Linked DNA regions of Tamandua tetradactyla. The protein of the gene in region 2 purifies or fractionates together with the protein of the main gene of each other region. This does not show direct contact. Links are inferred from orthologs where the notes say so. Each region holds a gene or a part of one and is shown on either strand. Other genes may lie near its edges.

What was found.
Region 1: the proteins of AGO2 (region 2) and GEMIN4 purify together in Homo sapiens (affinity purification with western blotting; 4 studies listed by BioGRID and IntAct, with this or other methods). This does not show direct contact. The link is inferred for Tamandua tetradactyla from reciprocal best matches to the Homo sapiens genes AGO2 and GEMIN4.

What each region holds. Positions count from the first base shown.
Region 1 is NC_135332.1:54,514,803-54,530,871, reverse strand, and holds GEMIN4 (gem-associated protein 4), read right to left. Parts: upstream 8,024-16,069; 5' UTR 7,910-8,023; coding exon 7,900-7,909; intron 7,681-7,899; exon of another isoform or gene 7,659-7,680; intron 4,944-7,658; coding exon 1,774-4,943; 3' UTR 1,588-1,773; downstream 1-1,587. Other genes in the region: GLOD4 (glyoxalase domain-containing protein 4), read right to left, coding at 13,733-13,798. UniProt on the Homo sapiens protein: The SMN complex catalyzes the assembly of small nuclear ribonucleoproteins (snRNPs), the building blocks of the spliceosome, and thereby plays an important role in the splicing of cellular pre-mRNAs.
Region 2 is NC_135332.1:86,912,284-86,928,313, reverse strand, and holds the start of AGO2 (protein argonaute-2), read right to left. Parts: upstream 6,345-16,030; 5' UTR 5,744-6,344; coding exon 5,422-5,743; intron 5,305-5,421; exon of another isoform or gene 5,193-5,304; intron 4,518-5,192; coding exon 4,322-4,517; intron 1-4,321.

The DNA.
Region 1 (16,069 bases), about 32 Mb from region 2:
TGTACCCCAAACTGTAAGATGTCGCAAGACTGCAGAGTACTTTTCAGAGCCCCGATAAGCCAAAATGTGCAGTCCACGTGCCCACTGTGAATGTGCCGTCATTTAACCACAGGAGGCTGGAGAGCAAGGATGCAGACAGGCCTGACCAAAGTGTGTCCTGTGGACTGACTCCTCCCTAAGGAGTCACATCCTACCCTTCACCTACCACTTGCAAATAGGATCCTTCGGTGCCACCACTAATCATTCCTTATCAACTAGGATGGGTTTTAGAAACTTGCTACCGTGAAGTTTTTTTCAAATGGTAATGAAAACTAGATTTTTTTAACTTCTTGAAATTCATTGTTGTCCATGAACTTTTAAAGTACCAAATGATGTGTAACAGTGTCTCAGATTTTGACTGTTTCAGTCTTTAATCTGTGCCATTTAAAAAAAATGTAAAATGTTGCAATTTTTAAATTGTTTTGTTTACTATCAGTTTATCTGTTAATCACCCCTACGGTGATTAAACTGCACTAATATTTCCCGATTTATTCTCATTTGTGAAAGACATCACTCTTGTGTCCTGCCACAGTTGGCTGCTGTGTGCTGTAATTTTGGCTGTGTTTATAGCTGTGCAATGGTGGGGGTGGGGAGGACTGGGGTCAGTGCTTCTAGCCCTTAGAGGGCTCAGCTCACACCTTACTTCCCCATCAGAAAAAAACACATTTCCCAGCTCATGGTGGGTTCCAACAACATGTTAAAAGTTTCCAGGGTTTAAGCCCTGCAGTCACACGTAACTTTAGGCCCTTCTCTTTCTTGGTGAATCTGAATTAGGCATCAGTAAGATGGAAGCCCGGTAATTGGCCACAGGGCCAATCTACTTTAGGTGGTGGAGGGAGCCTGAGGAGAATGCCTTGTTTTGAATGAGGGTCTGGGCAGGAAGGAGATGAGGGGGCATACCCTTTTGCCTCCAGTCTCCTCGAATGAACGTCACATCCAGTTCTCATAACCTCGACTTCTTAATTCTTATTTTTATGCTTCTATATACACCATGCCCTGTTCCCACTCATTCTTCCAAAACAATGACAACCCATCTGAGGCAGATGATTATACCCATTCTTGGAAACCTGTCTCAGCTGTTTATCAGGATGCTCCTTCTGGGCCTTTGGAGTTAGGCTGGATGACACAGGTCCTCCACTCAGAACATACCCATTTTCCTCATCACTAATCCACCCCCTTAATGCTTAATTTTTCTTGGCCCAGACCTCTCATTCTGTAATGGAGCAGGCCTCTTGGGACACTCAAATCCCACAGCCAACTGGTGGCAGAGTCTGAGCTAGTTTTTTCTGCAGCTGCTGTCCTTTCCAAGATACCTTGTCAAAATACTGACTCTTAAAGAGGATTCAGCGTAAAAGAACATATATACCCTATAATTTCCCCCTCACTTGGGTGTTCTCACCATTGGGCTTATTTGCCAAATTTCAGAGTAGAAAAGTTCAGTTATGAAAATGCTTCTCCCAGCCTAACTTGACCTTTAAGATTTTATTTGAGTCCAGCTTCAGAGTATCTAAGACCTGGATCACTGATGAAGTGAGACTCAGACGAGACTCCAAAGAAGATAATTTTATAATCTGTACAGTACAAATACCTAAGAAACTATTTTCTTTACACTGTTTTTGCCATATAATCATATCTTGTGTACAGTTTCACAAAATGGTGAGGTTTGTGCTTCTCAGCTCTGGTCCCTTCAGGCTTACCATATTGAGGCCCAGCTTTTTTCTGATAGTCAAAATGTCAGAAGTTGCTGATCTTCTGAAGCAGGGTCTGGCGCCGCTCCTCAGGGCTAATGTTCTCTGCAATGGACTTTAAGAAGCGCTGCTCATTTACCTTCTGGAGCAAGGAGCTAACAGAAGTATTGGTCTTGCTCAGGGTTTCATAGCAAGTCAGGATCTCCAAGGCTACAACATAGAGTGGCTCACACACCTCTTGGTGGAGCATGGCCATGATGTGCAGAACATGACAGAACATCTGGGTATAGACAAACAGGGTTTCCTGGGTCAGATCCTGCTCCTGCCCTTGGGCCCAAGGGCCCATGGACTGTATCAACCTAAGTGAGTCCAGGAGATTGGTCAGACTGCCACACAGAAGTTTGACCACATGACCCCAGCCTTCTAAGGGAAGCCAATTACGACAGCTCTGGCTGCAGAGGAACTGGAAGGCTCTCAGGAAGAGTACAGAGAGCTGCAGCTCCTGGGCAAAGGGCTTCAGGTTGAGCAGGGGAACAAACTGAATGTATTCTAGGCTGTAAGGAACATGTAGGAGCTGTTTCTCCAGCAGTCTCCTGGTCAACTGGTGAAGGTACTGCCACTCCTGAGAGCTGCACCAAGGCATGACTTGCACCAGGGCCACCAGAAAGCCCTTACTGAACAATCTAACCTCTTCAGGATTGCCCAGATCTACCACCAAGAGGGAGAGCATCTGTTCACAGATGGTGCTGGAGATACAGCAGCACTCCATCCAGGCAAGAAGCCCTGTGCCTGGTCCATACCCTGGGTGGGCCTGGGAGGTCCACTCGTCTTCAGAGAGCTTACAGATCTCAAAAAGTGTGGCTGGCACTTCACACTTAAAGTGGCCCTCAAAGAAATTCTTCAGTCTCAGGCCCACAGTCCAGTCTAGCTGCTCCACCTTCCGGTGGAGCCAGGACAGGGACTTGGTCCAGGTATCTGGGGGGAAGGTCTCAGCATTAGCCAATACAATCTCACAGAGCAGCTCTAGAATGTGGATCACTAGATCTTTCCCATCCAGAGAGAGGCACCGCTTTTCCTTGGGGAGCTGCCAGTATTTGCTGTAGCTATCCAGGAGTTGGCACAAGCTGAAAATGAGGGGAAATGGGGAACAGGTCTGGAGCCAGTAGTCCTCCAAGCATGCATTAGCTTCTAGAGTTTGGATGAAGATCTTCAAACTGAGGTCTACCACGTCAACGTCTAGCATCAAGAAAGGCAGGACAAATTCCTTTAGCACCTCCTCTGGCTCAAGAAGAGCAGCAACTGGAATCCCTTGGGGCTTCACAGGACTCATCAGACAGCTCAGGAACTCCAAAAACTGCTTTTCTTCCTTGGGTGTAGAGAACTTTCCCCAGACAGTTTCTTTGAGGCATGATACCACAAAAGTGGTGGGTGGATACGGACCCTGCTCTTCTGTGAACCTGAGGGCGGGGAAGGCAGTGAGAATCTGAGCCAGGAACTTGTGGGTGCCAAGAGTGATCACAGCCATACTGCACATTTTCTTAACTGTGATTTCCGGGTGCAGTATTACCAGGCGGGCCACAGAAGCCACGGCTTTAGCCAAGCCCTGCTCAGAGGCACTCTGAGTGAGCTGGTTAAAAGTTGTATTGAGGTCTTCTGGAAAACCTTCTAAGTAAACCAGCAACTTCTCAGAGAGGCCCTTTCGCCCCCAGGAAAGCAGGACACCTGAGAGAACTTTATTTTTGTCTGGCAGTGAGAGGTCTCCATAGCATTCCAGGATTAAGCCTACTACTTGTTTGATCTGTGATTCGGGGATGGCTCTGTCAGATGTACTGACCTCCATCACCGTTTCCAGCAGCTTTAGCACCAATCCTGGTTCTTGGAAGAGAGACCTGTTATTAACCAGACAGGCTAGCCACTCATCTGAGAAGGCCCACTTCTTCTCAGAAGCAAAAATATAGCACATTTCCATATGACGGTCCATCTTCTGCTCAATAATGGCCATGGCGATCGAAGCGGTGATGTCCTTCTCAAAGCCCTTGGTCTTCAGCACACTGTTGGTTTTCCTTAGGAAGTCCTTGACACACTCTGCCATCTCAGAGACCACCTGCCTCTCCTCCTTGGGTAGGTTGATGGTGTCCAGGTAGAGCTTCAAGTTCTGGCTGAAGGAAGTTAGGCTGTCGCACAGCCGGTAGCTATCGTAATTTGTCCCCTGGCTGCTATTGAGCATAGCCTGCAGCTCATCCCCCCATTCCTGCAGCAGGTTGTGCATGTACTCAAAGCCAATGAAAAGTGTCTCACTTGGGAGCTTGGCCAGTGAGGTCAAGCTGACGTCTCGCTCTGCTTCCTTTACCTTCTCTGCCAGCGCCTGTTGGTGGTATGGGTTCTGGGTGTCTGAATTCCATACAGAGATCACTGAGGCCAGTTTGTCTAGATACACAGTCGCAGACACTTCCTGGGGGTCGTCCTCCACCAGTGCAAATACCGTCAGCATGTCAGCCAAGTTGGCTAATGCGCAACACTTCATTCCAGGGCACTGGATATTATTTTGGATTTGCTTCAGCCCGTTGAGCAGCATGGCCAACAGAGGCATGGTAGGACACACATCTGGGTCTGACTTAAACCTCTTTGGAGGGTGGGAGAACTCATCTAAAGAGGACAAATACCTATGGGCCATTGTTCGAAACTGGGAGAGCAGGGGGTCCTGCTGATTGCCCTTGTGCTTCATCATTTCCCACCAGACATTAAGGAAGAAGGCCACGTCCTTTGAAGAAGTGTCAACAGTCATGTGCTCCAAAAAGCGCTCTAGTTCTGCACGGCAGATGATGGTAGGTAGAGCCATCAGGAGCTGGATAAAGAGTCCAGAAGCTTCCAAGGACTTGAGCAGCTCAAAAAGGATTGTGTGATTGATGGTGGGGATCATGTTGCCTACTGAGAAGAATACATCTTCCTGCCACCAAGTTTCGGTGTCAGAAGGTGAAACTGGATAAGGCTGAAGAACTTTGGCCCAGATGATGATCAGAGCTTTCTTCTTCCAGGCAAAGGGCTGGGAGTGTGCTGAGATCGAGGAGATCTCCCTTAATGCCTCCACAATGGGCTGCCCAACGTGTTCCCAGTCGGACTTTGTCAAGTCTGCCAGCACTTTTGGGTGGAATAGCTGCTCGGCCAGCAAGAAGCCTCCATGCAGGATAGTCATTTCTTCACAGATGTTTAAGGGTCCTGTACAGAGAGAAGCCGAATAAGGTAGGATGTAAAAACATTTCAAAATAGTAAGCAGAAGTTATAGGGAGAGACAGCAGGAGGTGAGCTGGTATTATCAGAGTTCAAGATGTTAAGAGTTGTCAATGAGATCGGTGGGAGAGGGAAAGGAGGGGGTGGCTACCAGAGCTACTACAGAGCTGGAGTCAAGAGGACTTAGCTGAGGGATAAAAAAATGACTCCTAAGCTCTCCAGCCTGGGAACTGGCAGGAAGATGGGTACCATTAGAGAGAGGGATACAAGGAGAATCAGAACAGGTGTGGAGGGAAGACAAGCTTGGTTTTGGTTATTTGGAATCTGAGGTAAAACATTAAGGTAGCGACGTTCTCTGGCGATGCAAGCTTGAAGCTCAGGAAGAGAGTCAGTACTAAGATGTGATTCTGGAAACTGTCGGCCCAGAGGGTCACCAAAATCAAGGAAGTGGATGAGATGTTTCGGGGAAAAGATTATGAAAGGAAAAGGTGGACTCGTGGAGGCTAGACTCCGCAGCAAAGGGAGGCACGGTGAAACGGCAGAACAGTACCCAACTACTGGGGCCGCGAGGAATAGGTACAGAGCGTGGAACACGGCAATTGAGCTCCTAAGTAATGATGCACATGAAGGCAGTTGGCACGCATGCCCTTTTCCCTTCTCCCTTAGAGTCTGGCTTTGCAAACAAGTTCCAGACATTCTTAAGCTTTTCAGAGAAACAGTTTGCCCCACAGCTTCTTCCAGTTTAGACCAAGCGACTCAGGGACCTGGTTCTCTAGTGGAAACCACAAGGTAGACACAAAAAATACCACACTAGATTAAGAAAGAAAAGTCCTTCCTTCAGTGAGCCACGAATTTACACTTATCAAGGAAGGTATCTTGAGACTTTTAATCAGACATGGGTTCAAATTCTAGCTCAGGCACTTAAAAGCAATGTGATCTCGGGCAGATTACTTCTCTGAGCCCCCTTTTTGCATACGTGAGGTTATATATAAGTTTCATACCATGACTGTGAGGATCAAATGAAATATACTAACCAAGCCCTAGCACTGGCTTGGTGCTCACTGAGAGCTTCTGATTCCATCTCCTAGGTGTATTGTGAGAGTTAAATAAGGTATAGCTACAGTAAGAAAGACACTACAAAGAGTCTGATTAAGTGTTCAGTGAATGTTGGTTTCTCCAAATCTTTCCATTGTTGGCAGAACCAGAACCGTGTCATTAGTCTTCCCCTTCCCCAGTTCAGAAACATAGGACCTAGGTCTTTAATAGGTATGCTTCCTTTGGCCCAGAAACTTAAATTAGAGCACAAAACTTGCTTTTTTATTCAATATTCCTGATTCCGCTCCCTTTCCCAGGGCTCAGAGATGCCATCAACTTCCGCAGTCCCTCCTGTCAAGAGCACATCTTCCCCATTTTCACCAGTCAGCACAGAGAACCCTGATTCCAGGAGAATTAAGACTATCCTGCTTTTTTCATGGGAGCAGTGTAAGGCCAAGGGATCAGCATTCCTGTGCACTCAAGGGGCAACCCACTTACGAGGCCGATCCATCGTGGCTCACTGTGGCAGGCTCACACTCCCAGGGTGCGCTACACTGCTGAGGGGGCTTTCTGGCTTAGGCTGCTCTGTCAGGGTCCCCAAACTACATTTCCTTTGGCTGTGTAAGTTTAATTTTATTCTAGCAGCTGTGTGGCTCCCAACAGGTACCTTTCAGAGACAACAGCATGTACATGTGCTGCTGGAAGTGAGCCCCCCTCAGCAGTGTAGCACATCCTGGGAGTCGGAGGCTGCCACAGTGAGCCACGATGGATCAGCCTCATAAATGGGCTGCCCCTTGGGTGCACAGGAATGCTGATCAAGTGCTTTATCACAACTGGTTAATTGGTACTTATGGGTGCCCTCCCCACTCCACCCCCCCCCGACTCCCCCACCTTTAAGTGCTTACTCTGTGCCAGACACTGTGCTAGGTGCTACACATATAAGACTTTTTTAATCTTCAAAACTGCCTTTTTGGGGGACTATTATTCCCGTTTAAGAAGTGGGAAGGTTGAGGCTCAGAAACAATTTGCTCAGTTTTACAACTACATAGTGGTGGGACTGGGAAAGAAACCTGCACAGCTGCAGACCTCCGAACCCTTCACCCTCTACTATTCCACCACTGCGAGGCTGGCTGGGGACAGGGACCGGAACATATCTCTCCAGCCTACACGTACTGGCACACATGGGGTGCCTCACTCCCAGCTCTCCCAGAACAGCCTCCTTCCTGGTCCTATCCCCCCAGAAGCATGTTCAGCAGCGTGGGCGGTGGGGGAAAGGAGCCACTTATTTGCATCCGCTCCTTCTTCCTTTTCCCAGACTATAAGGATTCTGAAACAAGAAACACGTGGGGTCAAAAACTAGCACCTCAACCGCTGGAGCCCTTCCGGCACAACTGCTGGTTGGACCAGCGCTTGCTGTGTGTAAAGTACTGTACCAGACACTGTATACATGAGGTCTCGATTAAATTCCCTCCCCCCAAACTCTGTGAGGTAGGTATATTATCATCATCCCCATTTTATCGACGAGGAAACCTAATCGACTGGGTAAGAAACTTGTCAAAAGAATGTAACAGGCGTTCAATAAACGAGTCCCTCGGGGCGTCTTCCGAGCCTGGCATTTTCCAAAGCACGTGCACTAATCCCTTCCACTTCCAGGAAATCTAATCTCACATCCGCTTGGCCTTTCAACGTGGTCGCGGGTCCCGAGAGGGAAAGAGGCCGGCAAAGGAGCGGCAGAGCCCGGGCCAAAGCCGGTCTCCAAGGACACCCCCACCTCCCCAAGCCCTTCCCCGACCCGGAGGTCTCCTTCAGCCCGGGCCCGCGCGAGCGTGCACGGAGGCGGCTGGCGGGCCGGACAGCGCCTCTCTGATTGCCCGTTGCGGGCCCGGGACCAGAGAGCCCTGACACCCACCTAGGTCCATGGCGGCGAAGCTGGCGGCGGCGCGGGCACCCCTCCCCCTCAGCGGCCTCGGGCGCGGCGCAGGCGCCACGGCACAATGGGCGGAGCGGGGGGGGGCGGTACAATAGGCCGCCACCCGGTCCCGCCCACAAGCCCCAGCGCCCGCTCCCGCGCCGACTGCCGTTGACCGCCCGCCGCCCCGCGCGCATGCGCGGGTCTCACCAACGAGCCCTCCGAGTACACAGCGACCCCTGTCGGCGCAAGCCTCCGACCAGCTGACGAACCGGTACCCGCACCGCCCTCCTCTCCGCTGTGAGCCCCGCCTCTGAACCTATTATGATTTGGGACCCACGCCCCAGCGCAGCCCTACCCTTGCCACCCAAGATACCTATCTATCCACTCCCCTGCCCATTTCTGCTTCGTGAGCTCCAGTCGGTTCTTACCCAATAGCCCCGTCTCTGCCCTGGACTCACACTCATCCTACCCACTGATCGCCGGAATCCGAATGCCCCTCCCCAGGCTACCAACTGTCCCACACAAACACGCCACACTCTGAGATCCTTCCTACCTGCAGCGGGCCTCGCAATCACATTCTGAGCCGCCCAGCCCCACAGACCACCGCCCAGTGCATCTCATCCCACACCGCCTCCCTCATACAGCAGCACTCACTAATTCTAGGGCATCACAGACACTTTGGAACATTTAATAAGCAGCCCCCTCCACAAACCCCCCCCCCCCCAAAATACTATGCTAGCCAACACACGCGCACGGGGACACACAACCTAACACTGTGAGACAGATTCAACACCAATTAACCTCCAGTTTGCAGTTTTCCCTTTATAAAGCAAATTTGATTTCTCACTGAGAACACTCATACAAGTATCCTGGGTTGTCGCCCTACCCCGTCTCCCTTTCCCTTCTTCCCAGATCTAATCATCAGTCTCAAGTGTTTCAAATTCTCCACTGTAGTTCCTACCACTGGCTCCCAGCTAGTAAGGACAGCTACCCTCATGTGTCAATTGGAGTTTGAGCTGGCCTGTGCAGCTGTCAAGGAGCTGAAGGGTCCAGTGAGCGATAAGGAGAAACTGTTGGTGTACAGCTACTACAAACAGGCCACCCAGGGAGACTGCAACATCCCTGCCCCTCCCTCCTCAGATATAAGAGCCAAGGCCAAGTGGGAGGCATGGAATGAGAACAAGGGAATGTCCAAGATGGATGCCATGCGGATCTATATTGCCAAGGTGGAAGAGCTGAAAAAAAACGAGGCTGGTTAAGGACAGATCAGTGAATGGAAGGAAGCAACATGGCTTCTCTGGTAGGGAAAGGGCTTCTTAAAAGACCTTGAGGACTGAAATGTCCTGAAATCACACCAACTTTAGCTAAGACACCAATAAATTACTTAAACTTCATGGGACTGATTATCTGCAGTTGGGCAGGAGGTAAACTCAAAGTGACCGTCAGAGTGCCCAGAGTCCAAAAGCTATTTTTAAAAAATCATACAGAACTGGCTTTCTGTATGATTCTAAGTATAACTGAAGTCTCCAGCCTTCCTATTCTCAGAGCAAATGTAGATATTTGGTGAATGTAGAGGGGTGGGGGAAGAATTGTGCGATCTATACCGGAGACCAGTGAAGTCATTCTCCAGTGGCTCAGCCTCTCAGGAGGTCACAGGCCCTTAATATCTCCATGGGTTGTCGGTTCCTTACCAACACAACAGAGGGGAAAGGTATCCTGTCCTCCAAAATGCTAGTGTTGAACCCCTACTAGCAATCGTCCCCACTGGGACACAGACCCAATGATGTTAACACTGTGAGGAAAGCCAAACTTTTAGTGACAATGTGGTGATATAATTGATGCATCACAGTAAGGCAACTGAGAAACACTGGAGCAGATGGTTTCAAAATTCTAGCCTCTGAAAGCATCACTAAGGGCTGGTAACCAACATTTTCTTGGGACTACTCCATAACCTGCTTGGGGATGTTTGTGGGGATACATGTATGTGTTTGTGGGTTTTTTAGGAGCACAACACACCTCTCATACAGGTTTGCAAGGGCCAAAGTGCTTGAGCTCAGCAACTACTCTTTAGTGCCATCATGGAACTATCAGTGCACATACTGTGTGGCTGAGATATGGAGAGCTAAATGGTATTAAAGACATTTCAGAGAAACAGGTCTGCTGTAGCATGGGATTTCCCAGTACTTTTCAATTAAAAAACTATTTTCATAGATCATGACATTAAGTGAACTCCAGTTCATTAAATATAGAAGCAACAACCACAGACTTAAGTGGACAAATGAAACCAAATCTCATTACCTCCAGGGTCTTTTGTCCATGTATTGGCAGGAAGTTGCTATAGATGAAATCCACTAATTCTTTAAGAATGAAGTATACCCTGGAGACTACTATGGCTAAAGTAACCCTTACATCTTATAAACCAGACAAGAGCCACACCACAAAAGAGCAGTGTTAGTCTCTCTTCTCTGGGGATATCATGAACACATTTTGATGTTCTTAAGGCCAGGAGTCATGTGGTATGAATAATGGTGTCTTAAGCCCCTTGCTCCAAAATAATGGTGTCAATTTGAGAGCTCTAGGTATAGCCATACCATTCTGTAAATCATTATAAAATCTGATAAAAGTAAAAACTTGCCCTAATTAGGACTGCAGAAAGCACTCATAGTTTCTACATAAAAATGAGTGCCTTAAAAAAAAAGGTAAACTAGCCCATACCTCCATTCTCATCTCAGGAATCTAAGTCCTCGACTTACCCTCTTCTCATTACCTTCTAAAAACAACAAAAATGACCTGTTTAAAAAAAAAAAAGCCAAAAAATTAGAATGGATTTGTTCCCCTCACCTCCCTCTAAGCAGCTCATATCACTGCTCCTCTGGATAGCAACTGTTGACTAACTCAAACCCTTTCAACGGTATTCACTCAAACAGAAAAGAAATGGGATTCTGATTTTCATCAGATTAACTAGTACCTCAGGATAATTTATAAAGTTATCATAAATGAGAAGACACTGAAAATAATTCTAGGATGTTTCTAGAATTACATCCACAGATGAGGAATTTAAGAAATGAGTTGGATATTTGAGTCTAGAATGAAAAGCAGTGGCCTCTATTCTAATATTGTGTGTAAGAAAGCAATTTTGAAGCATAAAGTTTTAATGTGAAAAGCACAATGAGATGTAAGGATAAAGAGGTCTATAGTTACTCATTGTATCTTTGTTTGGAACAAGGCTGGAAACATTCCAAGCTTCCATTAGAAGAAAGGATTATGTAAACTATGGCATATTAATTTCCATAGAGAAAGTTCTCTATGTACTGAGAGGAAAGATCTCCAGGATATATCATTACATAAAAAAAGGTATAGTGAATATAGTGTGCTAAATTTTGTGGGAAAAATGGAGAAAATCATTGCTTAATAAGTGGTTATCTATAGGAGCAGGGGTAGAAGCAAGACTTTTCACTGTATACTTTTTTTAAATTTTTAATTCTAAACCACATGACTATTACCTAATAAGGTCTAAGGCAAGGACAATTCTTTTTAAAGAGTAAACGTCCTATTGATTTATCACGGCTAAGGATAAAAAATCTTAAAGTAAATAGGAGATTTCCCAGTAATTCTTACCATCAATTTTAGTGGATTAAGTTGAAACCCTCGTGAAAACTCTGGCAACTAAGCCACAATGGCACTATGTGACAGGGGAGATGGGTAGGAAGCGTCACACAAAGGAGGACTGAATGTCCATGGCTTTGCTGCTTCCACTGAGATGTCAGGCAGACGTGGATTTCATACAGCTACTATGCAGGTTTACCTAGGAGGAGAACTTCTACAATAGGCCATTCTAAATCTCTCTGGATTTAAATTCAAAATATTTTTGAATGTATGCTTAATATGCTAGGAATTCAAACTCCTCAATTCAAATAAAAATTACTACCCTGAAAACCTAACTCTGGAGAAACTAAAGAGCTTTCCAATCATCTGTTCAAAACATCAGCCAGAGCAAAACCACGTTTCTTATTACAACACTGTTTTCTAATTAATCACATCATTCCCAGATATGGGGAATAACTTCTGCTTTAAAATCATTTAAATACATAATTTAAAATTTTTTAAAAATATAGCTGAACTGTACAGAAGCAAAATTTTGGGCTCATTGGTAAAAGTCCAAAGTACACTAAATGGTTTTAGGAAGAATAAAAAGAAAGATTCCAATAAGAGGAAAACTGATAGGCAACGAGATAAAGAAAAAGGGGCTGATAGACATAAAACCAAGATGTCCCAGGTAGATTAAGGGCACTGACTTCTAGCACAGATGGCACCCTCTATCATGCATGGCTATACGTTTAATAGAAAAGAATTTGGTATGTTAACAAAAAAGATAAGCAGATAAAAAGGAATTTAGTATGGATTGCTTAGTCATTCAGTACTTACATAAAACAATTATTTTACTATAACAAATTTAAAAGGTCACATCATATAGCAGAACTAGTATACTGGAAAAATTAGTTTCTTTTCACAAGGAGAGTATTACTAGAGATAAACATCAAGACTTAATAATCTAATATAAAATCTGAGAATTCACAAATGGTTTAGCAGAGACAAAAGTTTCTCTGATTATTCAAAATTTATAATTTCACCATGTATAGAAAAAAAATGAGCCAATTATCATTTATCGAGAGGAGGAACACAGATAACTTTGGTTTGCTTTGAAGTTCATGATTCCTTCTCTAAGATACAGAATTTCAATTTAAGTTGAATGAGAAGTGTATGGAACTAGACAAGGATTCTTTTCCCTCAGTGAAAATAAGATTAGCCCCATAAGGTGAGCTGAAACTCACTCAGAAATGTCCTTAACCCACCCTGCCAGGATGGGAGAACAGCTGAAGCTAAGATTTACAGGTAATTTTATGTTATTTTGGAATTAGTATCTTCTGGGTCAATCCCTTTCCAATCTCCTCAGTTTCTTCCCCAAAATTTGAACCTGGTCACCATTTTAAATAACAAGTCTTACAGACTAATACAACAGCATACAGTAAAAAAAAAAAGGGGGGGGTGGGGATGGGGGGATATATCCAATATTATTGTTTCTAGTGATTAAAATCTACTTTTTCTCTAGAACTAAATAGAAAACTACAAAAAAATTTAAAAATATTTTTCAGGCTAATGACTAATTCATTTTTAAGGAATCTAACACAATGTTCTCTTCTAGAGAGGATTAAAAGAGAAAATTACATAAACTAGCACACAGAGTCAGGCATGTAGCAACACTCAAGATATTAGATCCTTTGTCTGTTGTGTCTGGCTACTCAAAATTTAAAAGCAAGAAAAATGGGCTGTCAAATAACCAAATCTTTTGGTCCAAGAAACAATATCCTTTAAAATTTTTATATGTCAAGACCTGCCAGAATAAGACATTAGAATGATTCATCATCAGGAGCTAGAAGTATTATTGTTATAAGCAACTGATTTAGCTTTATTTGAATAGTTGCTTTCATAAACTATATATTATTCACAACATATCAAAATTCTATCCCCAATCAAGGGTAAATTCCCATACAGCTGTTCCACCTCTGGAAAATAATTTGTTACTGATGTAATAGAGCTGTACTCAGAATATGTCGTTCCAGTGACAGTACAGTAGGAGTTCTCCCTCTCCTTGGACTTCTAATAGGATTTCATAGATAAAATATATCAGAATTTCAAAGACTGGAATACACAAATCTTCATCCCCCAGCCTCTTTGCCTGAATAGTAAACAACCAAGTTTTAAGAGTATTATCATGAATGGATGCAACAGGTGGAGAATCATAAACACTGGTTCTAAATGATGTCTTCTGTTAACCTGAAGCCTTTGGTTTATTTTGTTTAGCAAACCACTCATCACTTTTATCTGCATCCATCGCCTAAAAAAAAAAAAAAGGAAAGAATTGAAATATACATTAATTCTAAGTCTTTAAACAAAACACACAGCCCACTTTATACCTGATTGCACTATTCACAATCAATAAAATATTTCAAGAGTATTCATCTAGTGTAGAGTAACAATACTCCAATTTGACAGGAGATGTTGGTGAATATTGAGCAACTGCTGATGGATTTTCACTTTGCAAAGTAAAGGGCAAAACCTGCAGCAAGGAAGTGAGGTAGACTGACTAAGCATGCCAGGCCACAGAATAGAAAGTGCTGCCAGTCTTAGTGTCAGGACAGGCTCTCAAGAGTCTTTAGTAGTCATGAAACTTAGTCTCATAATAAGGCCAAATATGAAAAGCTATTTGATGTTTTAGCAATTGAGTCTGGAACTACTGTACTTTTTGGTTAGTTTTAGACCTCTTAGTTCAAAAAGATATCTTCATAATATTTTTTGGTTCCCAGAAGAGTCCTTTTATCTATTATCACATAAGGTTGATAGTAAAGAAGGGCTTGTAAAGGAGACAGAGGCTTGGAAATGAAGTCTCTTAAAACTTCTTGTCCAATAGCTGTCTGGTTTCCATTTACTCAGTCATTCAGTCAAAAAGCAACTACCTTAAGAAGACAAAATTTCTGTCATGAGTGGATATTGTGCTGAGTGCAGGTGCAGGAGCAGAGACACAGTCTGAGGCTTTGAAAGCTGTGTAGAATAGCTGTGGGCTAAGATGTGGAAACAATGATTTTGAGCATGTTTCAAAATCAGAGCTGTGAACAAAGTGATATCAGACCACAAGGAAAGGAGCAACTAACTAGATTGGAGAAATAATTGAAAGAACACTCATCTACCTCAGCAAGAACAGATGATATTTGCAAATGAAAATCAGAAAATTACAATATTATATATTTATATGTTATATAAATATATATAAAATTTAGAAACAATACCAGAAGAAACAGTTGAAAATGGCTGCCTCTGGGCAATGGTACTCAGAGATAGGGCAAGACTTTTCACTTCATTTGTATACAACCCTAGTACTATTTGATTTTTTATTTATTTATTTTAATCTAGCTATGACTTTAATATGTACATATTCTAGTATTAACAAAAAATAACTATTAAAATTTTACTCCATTTAAAAATATGAAGTATTTGAGGTTTTCAGGAAAACTGGCAACAAACTTATTAGAATTCTAGTTGTTAAAAATAACTAGTTGTGAAATATAGACGATAAAGATTGAGATGCTATAATCTAGGAATGCCGAGAGTGTATAATAATAGTGACTAGATGTACAAATTTTAAAAATATTTGTACATGAGGAAGAACAAAGGAATGTCATTACTGCAGGGTGCTGAAAACAGATGATAATTAATATTTTAAAATTTCAACTTATGTGTGAGACTAAAGCAAAAAATGTTTATTTGGTACAAAATTTATATTTTGACTAGTGCATTTCCTAATATAACTTATGTAGACAGCTTGATTGAACACCATAAGTACTTGGAATCTTGGGTAGGACAAGAGATTTTGTTGGTTTGTCGAGAGTGATGCCCCGATGAATCCCAGAGTGATTCGATCAGTGAGTGGAAAAGTATTTGCAAAGTCCCCTTCGGGGAATGGTGAGAACAGGGAGAAATTCAACTTCCCCAAGTTGAATTCTTGATATTCTCACAAGTAGTGTGGACGGCCAAGGCTATAGGCTGAGCCCCCAGTCTTGGGGTTTGTTCATATGAAACTTAACCCCACAAAGGACAGGTCAAGTCTACTTAAAATTTAGGCCTAAGAGTAACCCCCAAGAAAGCCTCTTTTGTGGCTCAGATGTGGCCTCTCTCTCCAGCCAACACAACAAGCAGACTCACCTGTCTACTTGGGACATGACTCCCAGGGGTGTGGACCTTCCTGGCAACGTGGGACAGAAATCCTGGAATGAGCTGAGACTCAGCATTAAGGGATTGAGAAAAACCCTAGAATGAGCTGAGACTCAGCATCAAGGGATTGAGAAAACCTTCTTGACCAAAACGGGGAAGAGTGAAATGAGACCAAGTGTCAACGGCTGAGAGATTCCAAACAGAGTTGAGAGGTTATCCTGGAGGTTATTCTTACGTATTAAGTAGATATCACCTTGTTAGTCAAGATGTAATGGAGAGGCTGGAGGGAACTGCCTGAAAATGTAGAGCTGTGTTCCAGTAGCCATGTTTCTTGATCATGACTGAATAATGATATAGCTGTCACAATGTGACTGTGTGATTGTGAAAACCTTGTGTTTGA
Region 2 (16,030 bases):
AGATAATTAATGTCAGATGAAAACTGGTTAACAGGAAGAAATAAAGAACACTAGATATGGCTAATATGTGGATAAACAGAACCATTTTAATTTTTAAGAGCAAAAATAATAATATTGTGCTATGGGGTGTATAACATATAGAAGTAAACTACATGATAATAGCAAAAGGACACATAAATTATGCTTTATAAATTCTTACATTTTGTATGAAGTTACATTATTAATTCTAAGTAGACTATGGTAAAATAAAATAAAGATGCCTGCAGAAATATGTAGAGCAATTATTTAAAAAGTATGAAGAGGTAAACCTAAAAGCTAGGAGAATAAATAAAATTGAATACTAAAAAAAGTCTGATGACTTCACTAGGGAAAAAACAAGAATAAAAAACAGTTGAAGAATTAGAAAACAAATAACAAGGTGGCAAACTTAAAGTCAACCACTGATAATTATATTAAATTTAAATGAACCAAACACTCCAATTAAAAGGCCCAATTACATAACAGTCTACAAGTGAGACATGAACTACAAACATATACATAAGAAAGGCTGAAAATAAAACCACGGAAAAAGATGTATCAGTCGAACAGTAACAATAAGAAAGATCACAAGCCTATATTAATCAGACAAAAATAAAGCTTTACCACAAGAAGAATTACCAAATATAAAGAAGGACATTTCCGAATGATGAAAGGAAGACATAATCATAACTGAGCATGTGCTTAATAAAGTACTTCAAAATACAGGAAACAAAAGCAGACAGTGCTAAACAAAGAAGCAGACAAATTCACCTCATACTTAGAGAAAATAATCAGGAAAGATACAGAGGACTAGAATATACTCTCAAACAACCCAAACTAATAAACATTGATATCCAGAGTCAATCCAGGATATAAATTGTGTTCTGGTGCAAGGGGAACATTCACCAAGATAAATCGCATGGTTAGCAACAAAATGTGCCCCTGTGAATTTCAAAAGACTGAAATTTTACAGAACGTTCTCTGGTCATAAAGAAATTAAATTAGAAGTCAATGGCAAAGAGTATTAAAAAAAAATCCCCACAGTGAGAAACTGAATATAACACTTTTAAATAACCCATGGTTAAAGAAGAAATCACAACGGAAATGAGAAAACATTTTGAACTGAATGGAAATTAAAATGCAATGTATCGAAATGTGTAGGTTAAGCTAAAATAGTGCTTAAATAATGGTAAGATTTTAAATCAATCATCTAAACTCAAAGTGAGTATAAGAAAGAAAATATAGATCAGAAGAGAAAATCAGAGAAAAATCAACAAAGAGAAAATTCAACAAGTAAAGCTTGGCTCTGTGTAAAGATGAATATAACTGACAAACCCATAGCAAAACTAATCGAGAAAAGAACAGAAAGGGAAAATACAAAGTAAAAATATCAAGAATGAAATAGGTCTTTCACCAGAGGACGTGGAGATAGTAAAACAGTATTATGAACAACTTCCTGCCAATAAACTAAAAAACTTAGATGAAATAAACATATTCCCTGAAAAGCACAAACTATCAAAACTTATATAAGAAGCATCAGAAAAATCTGAAAAGCTTGATATCTGCTAAAGAAATTAAAGTGTATTAAAATGCTCCCTAGGAAGAAAACTAGAAATGAATTCACTGACACTTCTTCAGTATAAGGAGAGAAGCATGTCTCTCACATAACCTGATATCAAAATTTGACGAGAAAACTACAGAACAAAGTTCTTTAGGAACACAAACACAAATATTCTCAACAAAATACTAACAAATAAAACCCAGCAATATATAAAAATAATATACCATGACTAAATGGGATTATATCAGAAATTTAAGGCTGATTTAACATCTGAAAAAAATCAACATAATTCTCTGACATTAACAGGAAAAAAAGAGAAACTATACAATCACCTCAACAGACGCAAAAAAGCATTTTTCAAAATTGAACACCCAATGATAATGATAATTCTCAGCAAATTAGGAAGATAACTCCCCCAGCCTGATAAGGAGACTCTGTGAAAATCCCAGTTTAGCATACTTCATAGATTAAAGAGTGAATGCTTCCTCCCTGACTGGGACAAGGCGAGGAAGTCTGCTTCACCACTTCTATCCAACACTGTACTGGACTTCCAAGGCCAGTAAAAGAAATAAAACGAATAAACAACTAGAAAGAAAGAAAGTCACCTTTATTCACAGACAACATGACGCCTTACTTGGAAAACCCGAAGGAACCTATCAAAGGAAAAAGAAAGAAAGAAAGAAAGAAAAACAAAAGCTCTGCTAAAGCACAATTTACAAAGCCACAGGATACAAGGTCAAAACACAAACACTGAATCTATATCTCCTACTAGCAATGAATGGTTGGAAATTTGGGGGAAGGACATCTTTAGAGAGCACAGCTAAGTGGCTTGTTGTGCTCAGGGTTGTGCAGCCATCACCAGAAGGGAGGTTACAACATCGCCTCCACCCGGAGAAGACACTCCGTGCCCGTGAGCTAGCAAATCCCATCCCTCTGGGAAATAAACGTGTTCAAAAAACGACCATGGGGATGGATACACAACTATGTGATGATGCTGTGAGCCACTGACCGTGTACCACGTACAAAATGTTTGTAAGTTAAGAATGTTTGTATATTGTTTTATCAATAAAAATATTTTTAAATTTTTAAATATTATTTTCAACAGCCTTAAAGAACACAGCAAAGTTAAGAATAAGCTTAATAAAGGACCTCCATGAAAACTACAAAAAACCTGCTAAAAGGAACTAAGACAAATAAACAGAGAGCTCTACCATGTTCAGAGATTAGTATAATGATGATTCTCCCCAAATTCGTCTATAGATTCAAAGCAATTGCAATGAAAAAATTCCAAAAGGTTGTCTGGTATAAACTGACAAGCTGATTGTATAATTCATTTGAAAAAAAACAAAGGACTGAGAATAGCCAACAAAATTGAGAAGAATAACAAATTTGCAGGACTTATCTCTCTGGTTTCAAACCTTACCATAAATCTAGAGTAATCAAAACAGTGAGTCTGGCCTAAATACAGATAAGTTGTTTAAGAGAACAAAATAGAGAGTCCAGAAGTAGACCCACAGGTACATAATCAATCATTTCTTTTTTTTTAAACAGAGATGCCCAGGTAAATGAACGGGGAATGAGAAATCTTTTCAATGGCCCTTAACTCATGTCATATAAAAACATTAATTCAAGGTTACTTAAACATACAAGCCAAAACTACAATTCTTCCAGTTTCAGAAAACAGAGTATCTCTGTGACTCTGAGGAGAAAAAGATTTTGAGGAGAGGACATAAAACACAACTATTCTTATAAATTGATAAATTCGACTTCGACACATTTGAAAAATTCAGCTTATTAAAAGAAACCATTAAGAAAATGAAATGGCAAGTCCTGGACTGGGAGAAAATATTCCCAATAAAGACTTGCACGTGGAATATATTAAAAACTCCTACAAATCAATAACAAAAAGGCAAATAACCCAACAGAAAACGAGGCTAAAGATGTCAAGGGACACATACTATGAAGATGGGATGTGAATGGCCTGCAGGCACATGAAAAGGCACCCGCTCAACTTGCTGGTTCTCAAGGAGATGCAAGCTAAAGCCACGAGAAATCATCACACACCCACCCAAATGGCAGAGATCAGAGTGACCACACCAAGTGCGAGCAAGGGCATGGACGGCCACCAGGGAGACGACCATGCGGCTCCCACACATGCCTCGGCCCCAGAGCCGCACTGGCCGGCTGCACCCAAGGGAGAGGTGGGCGTTTGCACAGTGAGGCCCAAGCGGCCCTACTGGGGCGGCCCAAACCCAGGTGGCCCCGTGTGCCTTAACTGGAAGATGAAACGAATGAATTAGGGAATATTCATGCCACAAAGTGTCCCTCAGCAAAAACGATAAGCCACTATAGACGCAATGAGGCGGAATCTGAGGAGCACCACTCTGAGCAAAAGAAGCCAGGCTCGGGAGCCGACCTGGAAACGAGTCTATGGCGATACAAATCAGAACACCCCTACTTTTGGGGCAGGGGAATGACCGCAAGAGGGCATGACAACGCCAGCAACGGGGACAAGCTTTCATCAAATTCGGTGAAGCATGGTGTGCATCTCATTATACTTACATTTTATCTCAATAAAAAGCATTTAAACAAAAATAAATAAAAACAATTGAAATTTTCTGGGGAAAAAATCAGAAGGATCTGCTAACTGGAGGGTTGATTTGTTTAAACTGTTGCATTTCCCTTTTACAGGTTACCCCATTTATGAATTAATTGAGTTTGATAAAGGACGAAATAGAATACCTGTTGACTCTTCTTGGGCACTTCTCTGGCTTGATATCCAATTCATAATGATAGATGTCAATTTTTGGAATGTCCATTTCGAAGAAATTGGCCTGTAATTTGATTGTTCTCCCAGAGGTCCCAAAGTCGGGTCTAGGTGGAGGCTTGAAGGCATATCCTTGGATGGGGGGTGGTGGCGGCGCGGGAGGGGCAAGCACTGCAAAAGAGCAAAAGACGGCCCATTACCCGAAGAAGAGGCGACTCCACAGCAATCCGCCATGAGGCTGGGTGGGGAACAGCCTTCTTCCCACATGATTCTTACCACTCCATGATCCGTGGCCCTGTGCCTTTCCTTCTCCCCTCTCCACAGACGTTAATGCCGTCCCCGTCCATGCCAGAGCTCATCCCCCCACAGGGCGTGACCTGGCCCCCCGCACCCAGCCCCTGCCCCTGCTGCTGGGCTCCCACCACCTGCGCTGTGACCTTCCTGGGTTCACTCGGGGCCCGTGACCTTGGCCAGGCCCTTCTTTTTCAGACTCTTCCCTCCCGGGTCCTCCCCTTGCTCTGCCCAGTTGCTGGCTTTTCCCAGCGTGGTCCTCTCCACTTCCCCCATTCATAATCAGTAAATCCTTAACCTACAGATCCCTTCCCCTTGCTGAGTTCCTGCTAAATGAGAGGTTCACAGTCAATTCAAACTCAAGATCTGCAACTGAACATCTCTCCCCCAAGCCTGCGGCTCCTTGAAGACATGGAAGACCCACCCTCCATCAAGACCCGCCCCCATCCTTCACAGCCAACTGTTCCCCCTTCCTCACCATTTCACCTGCGTTTCTAATTCATCTACCCCCACCCCACACCCTTTCAGTCCTCTCAGCTCAGCTCCCCATTTTACCCCACAAGGGCTAGGGCAGAAGCATCCGACAGGGTTCTCAGCTTCCAGGCACCCCCATCCTCATCCAGCTCACGGTGTTTGTGGTTCCCAGCACCTAGCTCCAACACTGAAGGACTTGACAACCAATGCCCGCCTTCCCTCCCACCTCTTCCCCATCCCAAGAACCCTTCAGAGCCTGGTCCAGCACGGCTCCTGCCCAACGGTCCCACTGGGAGCATCCCTCCAAGACCTGGAGCACGGCGGGAACGTCTTAGTGCTGCCTGCTTCCTCCACCCCACTGTCCTCACTGTCAAGGCCATGGGCTGCAAGTCCCCCCGACCCAGGCCAGGACTTCCTTCCGGGTGAAAACCTCCACGTTCCCCAGGGTCTGTGAGGCCACCAACGCACAGAGGAGCCTGGAAACATTCTGTAAGCATGAGGCAGGGGGGTGAGAGGGGAGAGGCACCCAGGGGCCTCTTGCAGTGGACCATGAAGTCACGAAGGAGATGCTGCCAACCTAAGAAGTCAGGAAAATCAAGCTTTCCCAACACAGCGCTAAGGCAAACTGCCATGCTTTGCCCTGAAAACCACTTAGCACACGCAGGCCTCCATTCCAGTGGCTTCTGGCAGTCTCTCTGGTCCCAGAAAATGACTTAGTGACCTCGTCTCTGCACAGACCAACATCACACTGCCAACAAAGAAGCGTCTCCATATTAAGTCAATGCGCTAACCTTTACTGTGCATTATTGTAACTCGCTGGTTATCATACTTGTCACCTGCACATCTGTTCACCTTCTTTGCATATGAGAAATTAGAAAGCTGGAACAGTGAGGATTACAGGCAAGGTAGGCAAGCCCAGAAGGATAAGGCTCATTTGCAGCAAAAGCTGTCTAGTAGCCTCCCCCTATTCAATATTAAAGCATTAATTTAACCAGGGAATGATTTAAATTCAAACTGTGGTGTAGAAGAAAAGCAATAAACATTCAGTGGAAACAAAAGTATTCAGCTGTCCTCACTGCATTTCTCACCCAAGAAAATTCAGGGAGTCCTTGAGTTACTTTTCTGTTTTCTATAATAAACAGGTTATTTATTGCACTAAGTCACCGCATCTGGAAGCCTCTGGGCTCTCCGATGGGCGGCTGTCACTTCACGGAGCACACACCCGCAGACTTGTAAACACTTCCTTCCTTCATCAAGCAGGCTCACGTGCCTCTTATGTGCTGGGCAGTGTGCTAGGGACCGAGGACACAAAAGTAAATTGTGCTCTGAAGCAGCCCACGTGCTGTTTCCAGAGAACAATTTCAGACTGCGGGCAATCAAACAGATGAAGTTTGTTCACTTTTCATAAGCTCAGCAGGCCCCACGTGACCCTGCGCTGTGGATGCTGGTGGCAGCAGGGGGGTGGATGCTGCCGTCCACATCGGCCTGTTCAACGGGTCAGCTCTGCACTCTCCCTACACGTGGCACTGAGGAAAAACCCAGACGTGGGCCCGCTCTCAGTGAATTACATCTCTTCAGAAAGCGGAACCTTGCAAACGTAGAAACAAGGCAGCTGAGAAGGTGCATGGGTGCAGAAGGAGAACTGTCACCGCACTGCAGACAGCCTGCGTCCGTGAAGAGAGCCATCCTCTGTTTATCGCCCCCCCAGTTTACAAAGTGCTTTTGCGTGTTTCTTAACTGAGCCTGGTGGCTACAAAGTAAAGTATAACGTTTAGAGGTGAAAACAACCAAGGCTCAGGCAGATCAAGTAACGTGCTGGTGAAGGGCAGCGCTGAGGCCCCCCCCCCCAGTCCCACGGTGTCAGCCCCTCCCAGGGAGGCCCCTTAGTGAAGCTAATGGTTTCACCTCACTTAAATCCAACCGACTGGCACAGATGAGACCTAGGGGCGATTTCTCAGGTAGGGCCGATTTACTCTAAGGAGCTTCCCCCAAACCCTATCACATCTAAATCACCATGGGAAACAACGGAAATTAACACTGTTCATCATCTTATGTGACCAACTTGTATTAATAAAAGCAGTGGGGGAAAAAATTGGGAATTTTTTCATAAAAAATGTCACAAGATATTTCTCCTCTGCTCCTGGCTTTTAATAACGAAAACACTGAAACGACTTCATGGGAAGGCATATGGAATAGAAAATCACAAGAAACCATAACAGGTTTCCAACAGAGGAACGAGTCAAGGACCACCGCGTTACACCTCGGGAAGGAAACCATTAACTACTGGAGGGCATTCAACCCTGTGGGGCCTCCAAGCCCTCGGACGTCTGGGACCTTGTTTCCATGATTCAGAGGGAGTCCCGCATGTAAGCTACCCAAACAAGCAGGAGGATTCAGAAACAAAACACCAGAGAGGAGATGAGCACAGCTAGCTGATGCTCGGGGCCTCCCGGACCTCGCAGCACCAGATGGAAACCAAGTGCTGTCTGAGGCCAAAGGAGTGGACAGGCGCACAGGTGGGCAGAGGGGGCGCAACACAGACCCCGTGCCCGGACAGTCTGGGACCCGGAGAGGTGCAGTGGTCTCAGGGAGCAGATGAAGAGGGAGCTCTGTGCGGGTGGGCCCACTGGGGTGGGTGTAGGGCCCTTATGTCCCCAGGGCACAAGCTCCCCGGGCTGAGCCCCCAGCCCCAGCTCAGCCAGCATGGAACCGGGGCGGCAGTGAGCCCCCAGCTCGGGGGGTAGGAGTCCTAGGAAGGCTTCCCCAAGGAGACCCCGCTGCCTGGCGCCCCAAATTCCTACCCCGTGTCTGAGAATTTGCCTGGACCTCCAGTGGCAACCACGCGGGTGCCCTTATCTGGGTCAAGCTATTCTCCCCCATCTTCCTGTCCCTCCAGGAAAAAACTGGGCTCTGCCTCCCCATGAAAGCTGTCCCCGGCATCCCAGCCCAGCACTTCCTCCGCCAACCGCAGGCAGCCACGCAACCACAGCCCTCCCCGGGCAGCAGCACGTCACACAGCTTTGTTCTGAATCAATTTCCAGTTCTTTCTGTGCTGGGAGTCAGAGCTACCGAGGGCGGGAAGGTAAACCAGTCTTTTCGTTGAGGAATGGCTGCACTGGGGCTGTGGCTCCTGAGAGGGGAAGGACTCCCCACAGGCCACGCAAGCGCAGCCCTCAGCCCCCTAGGGGACCTTGGAGCCCATGGGCAGCACCGAGCCTTCGCTCCAGCCTCTCGAGATCACAAGGCACGTTTATTTAAAATTCCAATTTTTTTTTTCATATTCATCATGTTTATTCTCTTTCATGGAAACCCTTATACCTTCCCTACCCAATTTATCTCCTGTCTCCAATACTCATCAACCCCCCAACATCACCATAAGAGCTGCAACTCCCCTGAGCCACTGCCCCCTCTCCCACCTCAGAATACCCAGATTCTATTTACAAGAGAACCCATCCTTATGCCAAAGTGTCATGAACAGTTCCAAGAAGCTTCGGTTATCTCCACTCACACGTAGTAACACAGTAGGAAAAAAATGCATTTCTTAGCATTCCAAGGCACTTTAGAATGCATTGTTTCAAAATAAAATTGTTGTATGTGACAGTTTTTCTGGTGTTTTCAATTACCATATTGTGCTTCAGATAACTTTCTTACTCATTATAGCTAAAAAAAAGCTAACGGGAGATTAACTATTACAAATGGCACTTAGTATGGGAAAAGCATGCCTACTCAAGAAAAAAAATTCTTAAAAATCTCTGAATTGGGTGGGACATGGTGGCTCAGCAGGCAAGAACGCTTGCCTGCAATGCCAGAGGACCCGGGTTCGATTCCCGGTGCCTGCCCATGTTAAAAAAAAAAAATCTCTGAATTAAGATTATATGCTTCTACTACATTCCTGTTATAGTCTTCCCAATCTGAGGTATCAATTACTCTAATATTCCTGGCATTTATTCTACCCGTGTACTTGCTCCACCCCACTGGAAGTTGGGAAGAATAAGTTTGACATGCTTAACTGCCTCAATTCCTTTATTTCTCTTTGGATGGAGATACCTTCGTGTTTCTGCTTCCCCACTTACTGAGTAGTGGTTGAACCATGGCTTCCCCTACACACACCCACCTGCACACACACAAACACACAAACACCCTCTCCTACTTCATCCACTTATGTTCTCTAAGGATAGTAGTTTCTATTTTTGCCTCCAAATGCATTGCTTTGCATCTTTATCCTTTTTCTCAATTTATTGAGTCCAACCTGCAAAGAACAGTGATAAATATTGAGTCCCCTCAAAAACATCAACAGTTGGTTTATAGTTAAAGAACTCTGACAAATGAAACGAAAAGGGTGACAATTTAAAGGATTTGATGGGACCAGGACATGTGGCTTTGGGCCTTGTATTCTAGGGCATTTGGACCTTGGTGTTTACCGTGGCTTTTGTTTCCAGTGAAGCCCTTGGCTTTTTTTTTTTTTTTTTTTTTCCTTTTTGCATGGGCAGGCACCAGGAAGTGAACCCAGGTCTCCGGCATGGCAGGTGAGAACTCTGCCTGCTGAACTACCATGGCCTGCCCGTGCCATTAACTTTTTTTTTTTTATTAATAAAAAAAAAATTAACTAACACAACATTTAGAAATCATTCCATTCTACATATGCAATCAGTAATTCTTAATATCATCAATAGATGTATGATCATCATTTCTTAGTACATTTGCATCGATTTAGAAAAAGAAGTAGCAAGACAACAGAAAAAGAAATAAAATGATAATATAGAGAAAAAAAATAAAAAATACAAAAAATATATATAAAAAAACAAACAAAAAAAACTATAGCTCAGATGCAGCTTCATTCAGTATTTTAACATAATTACATTACAATTAGGTAGTATTGTGCTGTCCATTTTTGAGTTTTTGTATCTAATCCTGTTGCACAGTCTGTATCCCTTCAGCTCCAATTACCCTGTTTCTAACTCCTGATGGTCTCTGTTACCAATGACATATTCCGAGTTTATTCTCTAATGTCGGTTCACATCAGTGGGACCATACAGTATTTGTCCTTTAGTTTTTGGCTAGTCTCACTCAGCATAATGTTCTCTAGGTCCATCCATGTTATTACATGCTTCATAAGTTTATTCTGTCTTAAAGCTGCATAATATTCCATCGTATGTATATACCACAGTTTGTTTAGCCACTCGTCTGTTGATGGACATTTTGGCTGTTTCCATCTCTTTGCAATTGTAAATAATGCTGCTATAAACATTGGTGTGCAAATGTCCGTTTGTGTCTTTGCCCTTAAATCCTCTGAGTAGATACCTAGCAATAGTATTACTGGGTCGTATGGCAATTCTATGTTCAGTTTTTTGAGGAACCGCCAAACTGCCTTCCACAGTGGTTGCACCATTTGACATTCCCACCAACAGTGGATAAGTATGCCTCTTTCTCCGCATCCTCTCCAGCACTTGTCATTTTTTGTTTTGTTGATAATGGCCATTCTGGAGGATGTGAGATGATATCTCATTGTGGTTTTGATTTGCATTTCTCTAATGGCCAGGGACATTGAGCATCTCTTCATGTGCCTTTTGGCCATTTGTATTTCCTCTTCTGAGAGGTGTCTGTTCAAGTCTTTTTCCCATTTTGTAATTGGGTTGGCTGTCTTTTTGTTGTTGAGTTGAACAATCTCTTTATAAATTCTGGATACTAGACCTTTATCTGATATGTCGTTTCCAAATATTGTCTCCCATTGTGTAGGCTGTCTTTCTACTTTCTTGATGAAGTTCTTTGATGCACAAAAGTGTTTAATTTTGAGGAGCTCCCATTTATTTATTTATTTCTGAAATAAATAAATAACTGAAGAAAGAAATAAAACTCCAATTTTTAAGAGCTACATCTCAAAGAGTAAGAGAAACAGGCAGGAAATGAGTGATCGACTTCCTGGGTGTACTGCCGGGTCGGCGGGGAAAAGCCGGACTGTGGGACCCAGCCCCTGGTACAACCACCCGGTTGCAGCCCCCAACTCCCACAAAAGGACAGAAGCACCCCCTCACATGCCCAGGCCTCCATCAAGGTAAGGGATGAAGACGAAGAAAAGCTGGCACGCAGGTCAGACACTGGGGTGAGCAAAGAAGGAAAAGTGAGAACCTTCTGGAAGTTCTCAAAAATCTGGGTAGGGGCGGGAGGTGCCACAGAACCTGGGTGCCCAGGGGACAGTCCCGCTTGACCAGACTGTCAGCAGTTACCCTGCTATAAGCATGCTCAAGGAACTCCAGCGGGCATCTGACCTGCCTCGCAGGGTGGAAGGAGTCATGGCCTCTCTCTCCAGCCAACACAGCAAGCAAACTTACCACCCTCCCCCTGTCTACGTGGGACATGACTCCCAGGGGTGTGGATCTTCCTGGCAACATGGGACAGAAATCCCAGAATAAGCTGAGATTCAGCATCAAGGGATTGAAAAAAACTCTAGAGTTTCTTTCTAGAATGAGCTGAGACCCAGTATCAAGGGATTGAGAAAATCTTCTCGACCAAAAAGGGGAAGAGGGAAATGAGACAAAGTGTCAATGGCTGCAGAGAGGTTGTCCTGGAGGTTATTCTTATGCATTAAGTAGATATCACCTTGTTAACCAAGATGTTATGGAGAGGCTGGAGGGAAGTGCCTGAAAATGTAGAGCTGTGTTCCAGTAGCCATGTTTCTTGATGATGACTGTGTAATGATATGGCTTTCACAATGTGACTGTGTGATTGTGAAAACCTTGTGTCTGATGCTCCTTTTATCTACCTTGTCGACAGATGAGTAGAACATACGGAATAAAAATAAGTAATAGGGGGAACAAATGTTAAAATAAATTTAGTTTGAAATGCTAGTGATCAATGAAAGGGAGAGGTAAGAGGTATGGTATGTAAAAATTTTTTTTTCTTTTTTTGTTTTATTTTTCTGTTGTCTTTTTATTTCTTTTTCTGAATTGATGCAAATGTTCTGGAAAATGATCATGATGATGAATATGCAACTACGTGATGATATTGCGAATTGCTGAGTGTATGTGTTGGGAATGTTTGTGTTTCTTTCTTGTAATTTTCTTTACAATCAATAAAAAATTAAAAAAAAAAAAAAAAAAAACTTGTATGAATGTCTTCACCTACACCCTCAAAGGGCCTGGCCATACCCAGTACATGGGGCAGCTCACCACTGTGCCCTCCCAGCCCACCTCCATGCCTCCCAGGTTGGGTGCCTGTCATCTCCTTGGCCTCTAGATGACAACCCACTGACAAGCTCACCTCAGAGCCTGGAGCTCATCCACACGCTTGAGGAGTGGACCCCTGGAGCACACAGTCCAAGCAAGGGGCCAAGCACGTACATGTCCTCCCTGCTGCCCTGCAAGAGCTAGCAGGCCTCGGAGACCTGGGCCCACCGGGAAGCACCTAGTTACTCCAGCCAGCACGCTGTGCTTCAATTTCTGGGCCATGCTGTGTTTCTCAAGGGTAGACACCTTTGTCTGCATTCAACCTGGCAAATTCTCTGCACTGAGCCGAGTCACCCAACAGCGCTGAGAGGACGCCCAGGACAGACGGACAGCCGGCAGCTGGTCCCCACTTCTCAGTGTCCCTGCAAGCCCTGCTGCCATCGCAGACCCACCTCCATCACCTGTGGCTCTCATTTAACCAGGGTTCTGTCCTCTGATGCACGGACTAGCCCTATGGTCCATCTCCCTGTATCCCTGTATCACCCCAAGTCACACACATCCCCCCACAAAGTCTGGCCCCCTCTCTCCACGTGGCCCTCATCTCCACAGCTGGCCTGACCCATCTGCCACTTGGAGACCAAAAAGACCTCACCCCGAGGGATGTGTGGCATCAGGCCCCGAGAGCCCCTCATGATTCATGGCTGCGCAGCCCCCAGACTGCCTGCTAGGGCTGGGGCTCTGAGTTTGCAGTCAGATACTGGCCATTCTGGAGCCCGGCCTGCACGCTGTTCCCCAGGGCTCATGCTGTGGTGCCAAGTTGGGGACCCCAGCCCCAGGCCCTGTCCCCCTTCCTAACATCCCCCATCATGGCCAGCCAGAGCTCTGCGGCTCTACCTGGGTTGACCTGGCGACCGGCATCCACAGTAGCATTCCAGGGACAAGCAAGGGGGTGAGTCCACTTGTTAAAGGTTTCTGATTCTGCTACACATTTTCCAGATATTCAAGCATTTGAACCACCATTTTCAAAAAGTGCGCCCTGCACCTGGTCGGGCGCACAGACCCGAGTGAGGCGGAGAGACACTCACTCGCTGCACCCCCACCCCATCCCCACCCTGTGGACCCAGCCTTTCTTTCCTGCAGGGTTTACCGAACCTTAACCACAGGTGACGTGGGATATATCTGTAGAATTCGAAGCTGGAAGAGAACGGTCAGCCCAGACCCACCCAGGCTGCTAAGCCATCGCCATGAGCCCAGCTCCGCAGCAGAGGGCTGCTGGGTTGAGGCCCAGGAGAGGCTGCGCAATTGGCAGCCGGGTTTCCGGCCACCAACCCTGAAAGGCGGCATTCCTCCACCACACCCTTTGATGAGTTATCTGACCTTTAAAAAACCAGAATGATCTGCTTGGTTGCTCATCACTAGGTGACAAATATCCCTTAGGAAAAAGTCTTTTCAGTCACACAGAATTCTTAAATAAGCGAGCAGCCTCCCTCTCAAAATAAGCAGTTTTGGTGACGGGTTGGGGAGCCAGAGGCTGGGGTAGATGTCCGTCTGTCCTGCTACTGGGACATGAACGTGTGGCGTACCTGCCAAGGCTCCTGCGCAGCCCAGGGCCCTCCAGGGCTGTGACCTCAGCTGCCCGCCTGGAGCCAAAAACGTCCCAGTGAAACTGAGAGTTGCAAAGCGTGCCCCAAAACTGCAGAGTTAGCATTAGTACTTGGGCCACAGGACCCCTATTTGCCTCACACTGGGTATCAGCCAGAAATTACAAAGGCAAAGAAAGTGACAGAAATAGCTCAGGGCTACACAATCCTTCTGTGCCACTCACCAGGCGGCACCTCCTTACGCCCCCCCACGAGGAGAGGGTGCAGGCTCGGGGGTCACATGACTTGTTGGGGAGCCCTGGCCAGGTGGTGGCTGCATCCTTCACCCCAGGATACAGGCTCACAGGGGCAGAGACCAGAGGGCAGACTTTGTCGCACAGGTTCTCCCCCGGAAAAGCAGGGCACCTGGCTGCACCTTCCGAGTCTACCTGTCGCCTACCACGGGGCAGCCGCTCTACTGGCCATGCAGGGTGATGGGACTACACTAAGCTCAGCCACAGCAGCCTTGCAGTGCAGCGAATGGACACACTCTCACAGAAGGCAGTAAGTGCAGAGGGGACATCTGCTTCCGCCAGCTGGAGCAACGACGCAAACAGCTACGTGGCACCTACAGGACGGATGGTGTTGGGCCCTGGGAACAATGAAGACAAACCCAAACCTAACCTGCCTTCCCGGTGAAGTGTGTTTTTTCAGCCTACCAATTGCACAAGACACACGGACCATGTGCAACACTTGCTCTGACCTCGGGTTCAACCCCTGCCGGCCAAGCCCAGGTCTGGGTCAGAACGGGTCTGCCTGCGGTCACATTCTAACTGCCCAGTCCTCAGATTCCAAATCCCGGCATGCTTAACACTATGGGAGACAGGGTGGCACAAACCCATCCTGAGTGGCTATGATGGCTCCTGACGCCACCTGGGCAGAGCACGGCCTGCAAGGTGTAGTTACGTCATCGGTGCAGGCTGGAACAGAGGGAGTTTGTGGTGCATGCAGGTGCTGACACGTGAACACTGGCCCCAGAAAGCAAGGAGTACGGGACACCTAAGTGGGGGCCCACCCCGCCACACCACCTCCCCTGCGCCCTGCCCTGAGGCCACCGCAGGGTCCCCTCAGGAACGACCCTTCCCCTCTGCCTTGTTGGGGAGGGACAGAGAGCTGGCCCGGCAGGAAGCTGCGCCGTACCCTAAGAAGGGACTTGCACTTCCACTCATCCCTACCTCTGGGAAGCTGTGGTCATCACCTTCCTCTCGGGAGGAGGAAGGAAAGGAGAGACAGGAGAGTGGTGGGACTCAGGTTGGGCAGGGAGGAACGGGCCCTGCGGGGAGGCCCTGCACCCGTGAGGGCAGTATTTTTGGAAATGGGTCACCTCCAGGCTGGGGCCGGTTCCCGTAAGTATTTTGCCTGTGTTCACCCCTAGTAAAAATTTTGGGGGAAATTCCATCACTCAGCTGGGTTCTAGGCAGCAGCAGTAGGAGGGCGGGGCCCTGCCTGCCTGGGGCTGGGGGGTAGGCAGTGCCCCATGGGGTGCGGAGGCGGGGCCCAGTGTTGGGGCAAAGCCAGAGCCAGAAAACCCCAGGGGAAGGAAGACCTGGGTGAGTCAGGGCTGGGGACTGCTATGAAAACTACTCATGTAACTCTTTCGGTTTAATGACTAATATTCCAAAAATATTTAACCTTTTTTTTTTCAGTGAGCACTATTACACACATAGGAACATATGACAAATACACAGTGTAAAGTTTAAGCATAAAACATCCTACTACCCTCCTGCAAATTATTCACACTGTTCTTTATTTTCATTGCAAACCTAAAGAATTTCATCTACAATGTCGTTTTTTCTTGTTAGAGAAGTTGTGGGTTTACAGAACAATCATGCATACAATATAGGAGCTCCATACACCACCCCACTGTAACACCTCGTACTGCTGTGGCCCATTTGTTAGGACTGACTGATGAAAGCACATTTTCACAGCTGTATCATTAACTCCAGTCCACGGTTTAACTTAGGTAAGTTCACTGCGTTTTGCAGGCCTATGTATTTTTTTATTAAACTTGTATTCTAGTACTAAATGTAAAACCTAACATCTTTCCTTTTAACCACATTGAGGGGCATATTTCAGTGCCGCTAATTGTGATCACAATGTTGTGCTTCCGTCACCT